Coturnix japonica: one gene and its partner. The protein of the gene in region 1 purifies or fractionates together with the protein of each later gene. This does not show direct contact. Links are inferred from orthologs where the notes say so. Each region holds a gene or a part of one and is shown on either strand. Other genes may lie near its edges.

Region 1 (4,360 bases):
CTTAACTGTAACATACGTCAGTTTTCCACGGGGGGGCACAGCAACAGAGCCAGTACAGCGCCCAATATTCCCCATTCTGAACAGACCTGGAAATCTAAATGACAATCAGTTCTTTCTTATTTTGCAATCTACAGCACAAATTCTGCACCCTTCACGTGGAAAACTAACGTCGAGAAAATGTCATAGATGCTTCAGTGAAAACCAACAGTATCAAGTTAGTGCAGGTTGCAGTGTCTGCTTTGCATGGGATTCCTAGCTGAACGCTGAATAATTCACAGATCTCTTTAATGTTATTAACACATCAGACTTAATATCATTAGCCAACATACTAACATCAACCTACCAGGTTTATGTAAACACAAGAAGCAATTTAACCTGTATTTGAGGTTTGTGTTTTTAAGATAGTATCTCATTCTACCAACGTGTGTAAGGAGTTAGAAATCAAAATTATTGAAGACTTCTACATATAGAATTACCATTAAAATTTGGTACTGAATTCACTACGTCAAGTGAAAACCTGTATCCCCCCTCTTTCAGTTTAAAACCATTCCCCCTTAGCCTATCACTATCCACCCCAGTAAAAAGTCGTCCTCCATCCTGTTTCTAAGCTCCCCTCAAGTGCTGGAAGGCTGCAATGAAATTTCTCCTGAACCTTCTTTTCGTAGCTTTCGGCTCCTGCTTTTTGTTGTGACATCTCCAGAGTGAATGCATTTCAATCCTCCTGGTACTCCCATTCTTTCAGAACCGGGTGATTATTGCAGCTGAACACAGCTTCCTCTTGGACAAAAAAAAAAGAAGCTTGGAAAATGTTATGCCTTCAAAGTCATGTGGCATCCACACAGACCTCCTTACAGCCACCCCTGCAGTCAGATTCACCTCCCTGTTGTGTTCCTAATGCCTCCTCTAAAAGTCAGCTGTATCTCTAGATCAATGATATAGCCCAGAAACAAGAGGAAGCGATTCTGATAGTAAACCGTGTGATGTTTCATTCAGAACATTGGTGAACACATCTGGATTTTAGCAATCATGATCCTACCACCTACACAGTAGAAGTACATGGTATAATTAACCCGGAGAAAGACTCTTTAGAAAGAAGAGACTGTGCCAGTAAGAAACATTATTCCACTTAACTCCATTCTTCAGGCAAAGATTGGTATTTGTTGGAAAACTGCATTGATCATGTCACTGCCAAGACATCACAAGCATGGATTACAGCGAGGTACGCTGTTCTAGATGTATATGATCTGCCACCATGTCACTTAAAACAGCTGATACTGAAAAGAAGGATGCAGTAGAAACTGAGTTATGTGATGCAGAAGCACATACTTACTAACCGTAAAATACAAGCAAGAAACCTTAAAATACAAGCTTCTCATGCCTGTCTACAACTGGAAGCAAATCACTTCATCTTGTTACTTTTAATTTGAATATCAGTCCTCAGTCAAACCTCACTCTGTGACAGTCTGAGCAGAGACTGCGTCACATCATTCAGAGAAAGCAGGAAAAAATATACCAAATGCTGCACTGGAAACATGCCACAGCCCTCGTTCCTTATTAACCTCACAGCTCCTTATGGATTCCACCTCAGTAATTAAACTGCACCCCTGGAAGTTGACCACCTCCATTACAGCGCTGCTACTCAACATCATTTCCTGAGCGCTCAGCCTGCAACAGACCAAAATACCAAGAGAAGTTTAACAAAAACACATCATCATACGAGCACATGACTTCCAACCAATACAGAGTTAGCGAGCACTGAGGCTCTGCAGGAAATGAAATCCTCTGCCAAAAAAAATGACTTCTCTGAAAAAGATAATCAAGATTTCATAAGAAAAATGTCTATTTTCCCACTGCCAACCAACAGGAGATGCCCATCCTGCAAGCTGGTGCTTTCACAGCTCACATGCTGCTGTTGTGAAGCTGGAGCTCGTTTATTTCACTTTCATAAAAACTCATTTTTTGCCCTTTTTCTAATGTCCGCTGTCTGATGTGACTGAGCACATCACAGTATCACACACAGCTGCAGCTCCCCTCACACCTCCGGGATAAACACACAGAGCTCTTTGGAGGCAGAAGACCTGCTCACAGCTGTGTGTGTTAACCTGGATCCACCTTGCCAGCATCCTCAGAATCATCCGTGTTTGCAATAACAACACCAGAACTTGGCTCGTTACAAAGTAATAACAAATGCCACAATATAACTGCACGAGCGTCACCAGCCAGCTGCTCCTCGGATCCGCTCTATCGCTACGGACCGAGCTCAATGACAGCCGGGACCCGCTGCTCACAATGGGACCGGCAGCTCCAAAGGCCGAGAGCGGCCGCGACGCGGAGGGACGATGCCGGCAGCCGGCGGGGAGAGCGGCGGGGCCTGGGCTGCACCGAGCCACCCTGAGCGCCGCGAGGAAAGGGAAGGAGGGAACGGCGAGTGATCCAGCACGGACAGGAGGAACGGAAAGTCGCGACATGGGCGATGGCAGCGGAACGAAACGGAACGAAACGGAACGAAACGGAACGAAGGCAGCGGAACACAACGGAACGCAGCGGAACGCAGCGCCGCCCGCCTGGAGCTCCGGCCGGGGCAGGCGCTGGGGGAGCGGAGCCGGCGGCAGCGGAGAACGGCCGCGAGCAGAGCGCTCCTCATCGCCGGGTCAGAGCGGGGCCGGGCGGCCGCCCCTCACCTGGTAGATGGCGGCCCAGCTGGCGGCCTGGTCGAGCCGGTGGAACTCCTTCTCCATCTCCATGGCCGGAACAACGCGCCCGGCCTGGCCCCGCTGCTCCGGCTCCAGCTGCTGCTGCCTCGGCCCGGGCTGCCCGCTCCGCATCTCACCCCGCCCTGCTGGGCCGGAACTACGCAGCCCGACACCAGACGCGACGTCCGGGGCGGCCGCAGCCGCGGGGTTGGAGGGGGAGCGAGATGTGTTGGTTTGGAGCCGGGAAATGAGTTACTGAGCTTAGGAACGTTAAAGCTTTAGTTTGCATTTCTGATAAAATTCAGCATTGTGAGATTACCTGCGTTAAATCAGCCAACATCATGAATAGCAATCCAGCTGCCTGCAAATACGATCCATGCTGCTGCTGTGCTGTCTGAGTGCAGCTCTGTAGTCACTAAGCCAGCTGTAGCAGGCGGCATCTCCAGCGTCCAACTGCTGTTAACTTGCTATTAACAGTCACCACACCTAATGCTACTGACTGTACGTATCTGTGCCATTAGTCTACGTTAACATCCCCTTTCTTGAGCAGAACTGTAACATTTTGTTATACAGAGCTGATCTTCCAGCGTGTCCTTTTGCTGTTACACCTCAGGCATTCCTAGTTCTGATTCTCTGTTTGGTTTTGGTTCAGCATTTGGGGTTGTTCATATGGAAGGTTCATTTGTCTTCATTTTGGTTTTTGCTAACAGTGCATCATGTAAGACTCAACAATTCAACTATTAGCCCTGGGTTACACTGAAGAATCTGTTGGGGAGCACTTCTGGCCTCTTTTTGGTGAGGATAGCTCTCCAAAACACGTTCGAGGTGATGGCATTGCTTCATTGCTGAGTAAGCCCTCCTGTGGTTTCTAATCCAGGTGAAGCAGGCGGTCCACTTGGCCTCACCTCCTCGTGAGAACAGACAATACCCTGCAGGCTGTGCTGAAGAGGAAACAAACAGAGGACCCTCAGAGTACAGGGGTGTAAGAAAGCAAGTGGCAGTTTGTCAGTGTACGGCAGCACATTTCATCCAACACACAAATACCAATCTCTGCTCCAGGGCACTTCAGGGCTATGACTGTGGGAAATGGCATCAATCCCTGGCTGCTGCAGGATCACAGCATTTTCACTGCAGTGATGCATCTCATGCAGGGCCATGCAAACCCAAGCCCTTGATGGAAGGAGTGCTGTGCAACAGCAAGACACGTGGGTTTAGTAGCCTATGGATATAACATGTGGCACAGGGAGAATCTATATCCTCAGAGAGACAGAGAAAGGGACTGGCATGGAAGTGGTGTGGATTGCCATGTGCTGGGTTGCCCAATCAGCTAGAGAACAGCTGCAGCCACAAGAGGCTGGTTTCACTGTGCAGCTGTGGCCCTGTAGAGATCAAGGCCACAACGTGAGTGGTTTCACATGGTGAAAAGGGATCAGGAGCAAAAGAAGCTGCAGACTGGAAACTGAACGTTGGTGGTAGTAGTGAAAAGGAGGTGCAAATGGAAAAATAGATATATGTTTCTGATGGTATAAAAAATCTAAACATTTTACTAAGAGCACAGATTTCCTGATGTGTGGTTATGTTCTCATACAGCTCATCAGGTGACATATTTTCCATGTTAATAGTTTGGATGTCACCATCTGCTTGCTATGACTTTGAGTGCCATCGTG
Region 2 (4,359 bases), on another chromosome or scaffold:
TTATTTTGATGAGAGCAACTCAAATGGAAAAACAGGGCATTTTTGCTTCCTTGACTAAAGCACAGAAAATAACATGGAATACAACTGAGCTTCTTCCTACAAGCCAACAGTTCTATTCTGAGCTATTTTTGAGGATTTTAGAAATGTTTAGTTAAAATTTACTGTCAGCTGTAGGTGATACAACCTCTCAGTTCTGCACAACTGATGAGCAATGTAACAGGTCCTACAGCAGAACAGCTGTGACTAATCCAACTAACACTAATTAAGTGATCTTTGACCTACTAGGCTAGTAGGTAGGCTAGCATAACATCCAGCTTAATTATTCATACCTCACTACTTGATATGAGTTGTACCGGACTTTGTCCCTATTGTCTGACAGCAGAAATGTAGGTGAGAGTTGTCTCTTTCTCCTGCGATAGTTTCTTTAGCTGACTATTCCCTATCATAATTAACACACACATGAAGTTTTACCGCTTATTTGTATGTCAGTATTGTATACCAGCACAAGTATGCTGGAATAGAAAAATCTGGCACAGCGACAGTCGCTCCCAAAGTGTGCTATAATTTATGTTAGCAACAAAGCATTAGGAAATGAATGATACATAAACTAACAAGACTAAAAGAGGATGAGGCAATGGTAATAAGTGGTTGCTTTTGTGGTGTAGGCAATGCAACTTGCTTACTGCCTCTTCTTGATAGGCAGCATTCTGTAATGCTCCTGGCAAGGTTGGCCTCACAAGGAAAAATGGAGAAAAGAAGGAAGACCAATGGGCAAATCTCATCCTTACAAAAAGGAGCAGCATAGCTGGCCATGAAACAACTGAATGGTGGATGTAGAGCTTGTTATTCACAGCCCCAACATAACAGCAGTATTAAGGGCTATGCAACAGAGTGCTTCAAAAGCCTAAAGCAGTAGTTGCATAGGTACAAACTGGTTGGCAAACACGGTACTTATTTTAGAAACTGCATTTCTAATAGATTTGAGAAAGCAAAATGGTGTAAGAGAGGCAGATTACAGCAGTAAGAAAGAGGTATGAGGATAACTGTAGTATAGATAGAGGAAAAGGGATAGGTCACGTCAGGTCAGACCACCTCAAGTCCATTCAACTGCTAAATGTATGAATCATCTCCACTTTGCAACAGACAATAACATTATAATAGCACGTAGTCCACCTAGTATGTACAAATAACTTAGATTTTTAACACTGTATGTAGCAAAATCATAAGATTCCTACAGGAGGAATGCATTCCAGGCACAATTTTCAATATTCAAGCTAGAATTTAGTTTCACCGCATTCACTCTCAGCTAATAGAGGCGCTGTCCTTGTTGAGTCCAGCAGAGCAACATCAAGAAACCTGCAACAGAGACAGTTCAGGGACAATCCAGGAGCCACATTATATGTATTTCAGGAGTATATTAAATGGACCTCAATCTACAGTTGAAGGTGCGTTTCAAACTGAACGTAATCCAAGACTGTGCACTAAGTCCACTCCTCAATAAAGAGAAAGCAAGGGAAGTGTGGACAATTTGTTCACTTCAAAAGCATATTTGCAGTCTGAAGTACGAACACAAATTCTCCCAGAACATCTACCTGGCCCAGTCTTCCTTACAGACACCATTCCAATGCAATAAGTAGGAAAATCTTATAGTACATATCAGTAACCCTCTCAACTTACCACTTTCAAGCCCATCTATAAAGCTTTTCACATTTTTACAAATGGTGTTTGACTAAATTTTACAGAGATAACTGGAATATATCACCCTCGCCTATGAATTGGGCAGAAGAACAAACCATCAATGATAGTTTAGGATCTCGTTTCCATTCCCACACAAATAACGTAACATAGCAAATTCCAAGAAGCCCTGTGTTGCTCACACTTTATGTATGTTATATGACAAAGTTACCTAACATCAGAAAGCTCTGAAGATAACACCTGTATGAAAGGAATTGGGTAAAATAACACTAAGTCATTGCTTAACTACAGGTATGTTATTACTTAAGTCTATTGAGTAAGTCCATTTCACCATCGCTGTTTAGCACCAGGATCAGGTTATGGCAATTACACGATATCTAACTGTACATGCCAGGTCTTTAGCACGCAGCCAGCGACCGAAGTCCATAGATCTGCCAGAACCACACAAGGACTGAGCCTGGAGCATCTTCACCACCCATCACACGTTCTGGTACCCGGCTGCTCCCCAGGGGCCAGCACACGACACACACACACACACACACACACACACACACACACACACACACACAGGTGAGACACCCTCACAGGTAACCCAAGCAGCCTCTATCGCTGCTACAGCTGTCGGCGTGCCGGCACCAGAATAACCCTCGCCCGTTATTACCTGTGCAGACAGGACAAACCTAAACGTATAACTCTTTCTCAGCAGTAGCTCACAGATGGGAAAACTGAGAAAACAAATACAACTCGAGCAGCGGAGCCGGGGCGTGCCGCCACACCACGGGCAGGGGATGCCGCCTCCTCTATAGGAGACGGTCCCGAGGGTGGAGGCAGCGGACCTCACTGCAGGGAGAGCCCCGGGACCGACCTCCGGGCCCCGCTCCGTCCCCACGCACCGCTGCAGCTCGCCCCCGGCCCACCGCGCCGCGCCCCCGCCCAGCTCAGCTCAGCTCACCCGTGCTGGGCCGCGGCCCGCCGCTTGTTGAGCAGGCAGAGCAGCGCGCAGGCGGCCGCCGTGCCGCCGACGATGGCGGAATGGCGCACGGTGAGGAACTTGCTGTAGGCAGCCATGGCGCGAGCGCTGCCGCAGAGCCGCAGCCGAACCGAGCCGTGCCGAGAGGGCGCAGGGAATGGCGGGACGAGGGGCGGGGCGCTGCCGGCCTCGCCTCCGCCGGCCGGAGGGAGGTTGTGCGCAGCGTGCCCCGCTCCCGTCTCGTCCCTGCGGCACCTCGGCCTGGCGGCTCGTTGTGCAGCTGTACGCCCCTGTGAGTCCCCAATGTCATACACGGGTAAAGGCAGCGCAAAATAAGCCTCCCAGGAAGGCTTTCACGTCACTGTCTTTCTTTTAGGGCCCTGAGAGGAGCTGCCAAGTTTAACTTTCAACACAGAGGAACATGTTACCAGTGTGAGTATAGAAAAGCCGCCCCTGCCCGGGCAGAAACTCACGGCCCGCCCCCGCCGAACCTGTTCGACTCGTAGGTGCTTTTCCCTCGCAGTCAGTAGCAGTCCGCCAGGCCGAGCTGTCCCAGCGCAAACACCCAGGCCAGCAGCGCTGCCATCGCACTTGGGACAAGTTTGTCTCTTGGTGCCGAAATGCGGTCTCAGAACATTCAGTTGTTTGCCTGTTCTAGAGCACAGGAGAAAGGGCTGCTAGAGCTGGTTCCCTGGCACTGACTTCTGTGTCTTGCACAGCCTGGTCATCTCTCTGCTTTAAAAGCATCAGTACATTGGTGTCTGTTGGGGGAACTGAGGTAAACTATTCCACGTGTATTCTGATCACCTGAAAAATATGCATCAGAATCACAAAACATGATGAAGTTTATTGTGTATCAGAATTTTTTCTCTGTACCGCTCAGAGTTGGAGGCCAAACTTGGGTGTTTGTTGGGGTCTTTTTGAAGTTTTAGATATTTAGACAGCAGGTAAATCAGAAAAGCTAAAAATAGGTAATATCCTCATCAAATAAAATTTCTTAGATTCATATCATTATGAAGGTGGAAGTCTAGAATTTTTCCTTGAGGTGCAGTTTTGCTGCCACTTTTCATCTCTGTCTGTGCTGGGATCAAAAGCAGTGCATGGTTGTAAGTTTCTACAGATCCTCTTTCCTCCATAGGCTTAGGTTGGTCATGCCCTTCCACTGAACTATCTTTCAAATATAGCCCAACACCATGCACCGTGTACATACAATGTCTGTCTATTTAGGCCACGCTGACCTTTGTTGTTTGCATGACTTGTGCTCTGCTAAGTTTATCTTCTGTCCTTACCCCACTTTTTGAGCTTACTCAGTACCAGATCCTGTATTTTGTTCATCTTCTACCTTGTCTTTAAATAATTTCACAAAAGCCCTTCATCTGCTAGGAAACCTGTCTCATGTGTCGAGTTCTCTCGCTGTTTAATCTACTGTCTTCATTTTTCACTGTTGGTTTTTATTTAAAAAAAACCAACAACTTTGTAGTGGAACTAATAAGCGGGCACTTAGTCCAAAACACAAGGTTTTTATTGATCCATTGTTTCATCAGTTTCCAACAAGACTTATGGATGAGCATATTCGTGGTAAAATCACCCACACCGACAAATGCTTTTGTGACAGAAGTTCCTCCTTTGTTCTGCAATTTGAGGTCAGTTTGTGTGCTCTGCATTCTTGGGACAAGTCAACTGGAAGAGTTTTC

Evidence for each region.
Region 2: the proteins of PTPN1 (region 1) and ABCD3 purify together in Homo sapiens (affinity purification with mass spectrometry; 3 studies listed by BioGRID and IntAct, with this or other methods). This does not show direct contact. The link is inferred for Coturnix japonica from reciprocal best matches to the Homo sapiens genes PTPN1 and ABCD3.

The regions. Positions count from the first base shown.
Region 1 is NC_029535.1:12,162,793-12,167,152, forward strand, and holds the start of PTPN1 (tyrosine-protein phosphatase non-receptor type 1), read right to left. Parts: upstream 2,846-4,360; 5' UTR 2,826-2,845; coding exon 2,682-2,825; exon of another isoform or gene 1-2,681. UniProt on the Homo sapiens protein: Tyrosine-protein phosphatase which acts as a regulator of endoplasmic reticulum unfolded protein response. Mediates dephosphorylation of EIF2AK3/PERK; inactivating the protein kinase activity of EIF2AK3/PERK.
Region 2 is NC_029523.1:11,763,826-11,768,184, forward strand, and holds the start of ABCD3 (ATP-binding cassette sub-family D member 3), read right to left. Parts: upstream 2,830-4,359; 5' UTR 2,764-2,829; coding exon 2,648-2,763; intron 1-2,647. UniProt on the Homo sapiens protein: Broad substrate specificity ATP-dependent transporter of the ATP-binding cassette (ABC) family that catalyzes the transport of long-chain fatty acids (LCFA)-CoA, dicarboxylic acids-CoA, long-branched-chain fatty acids-CoA and bile acids from the cytosol to the peroxisome lumen for beta-oxydation.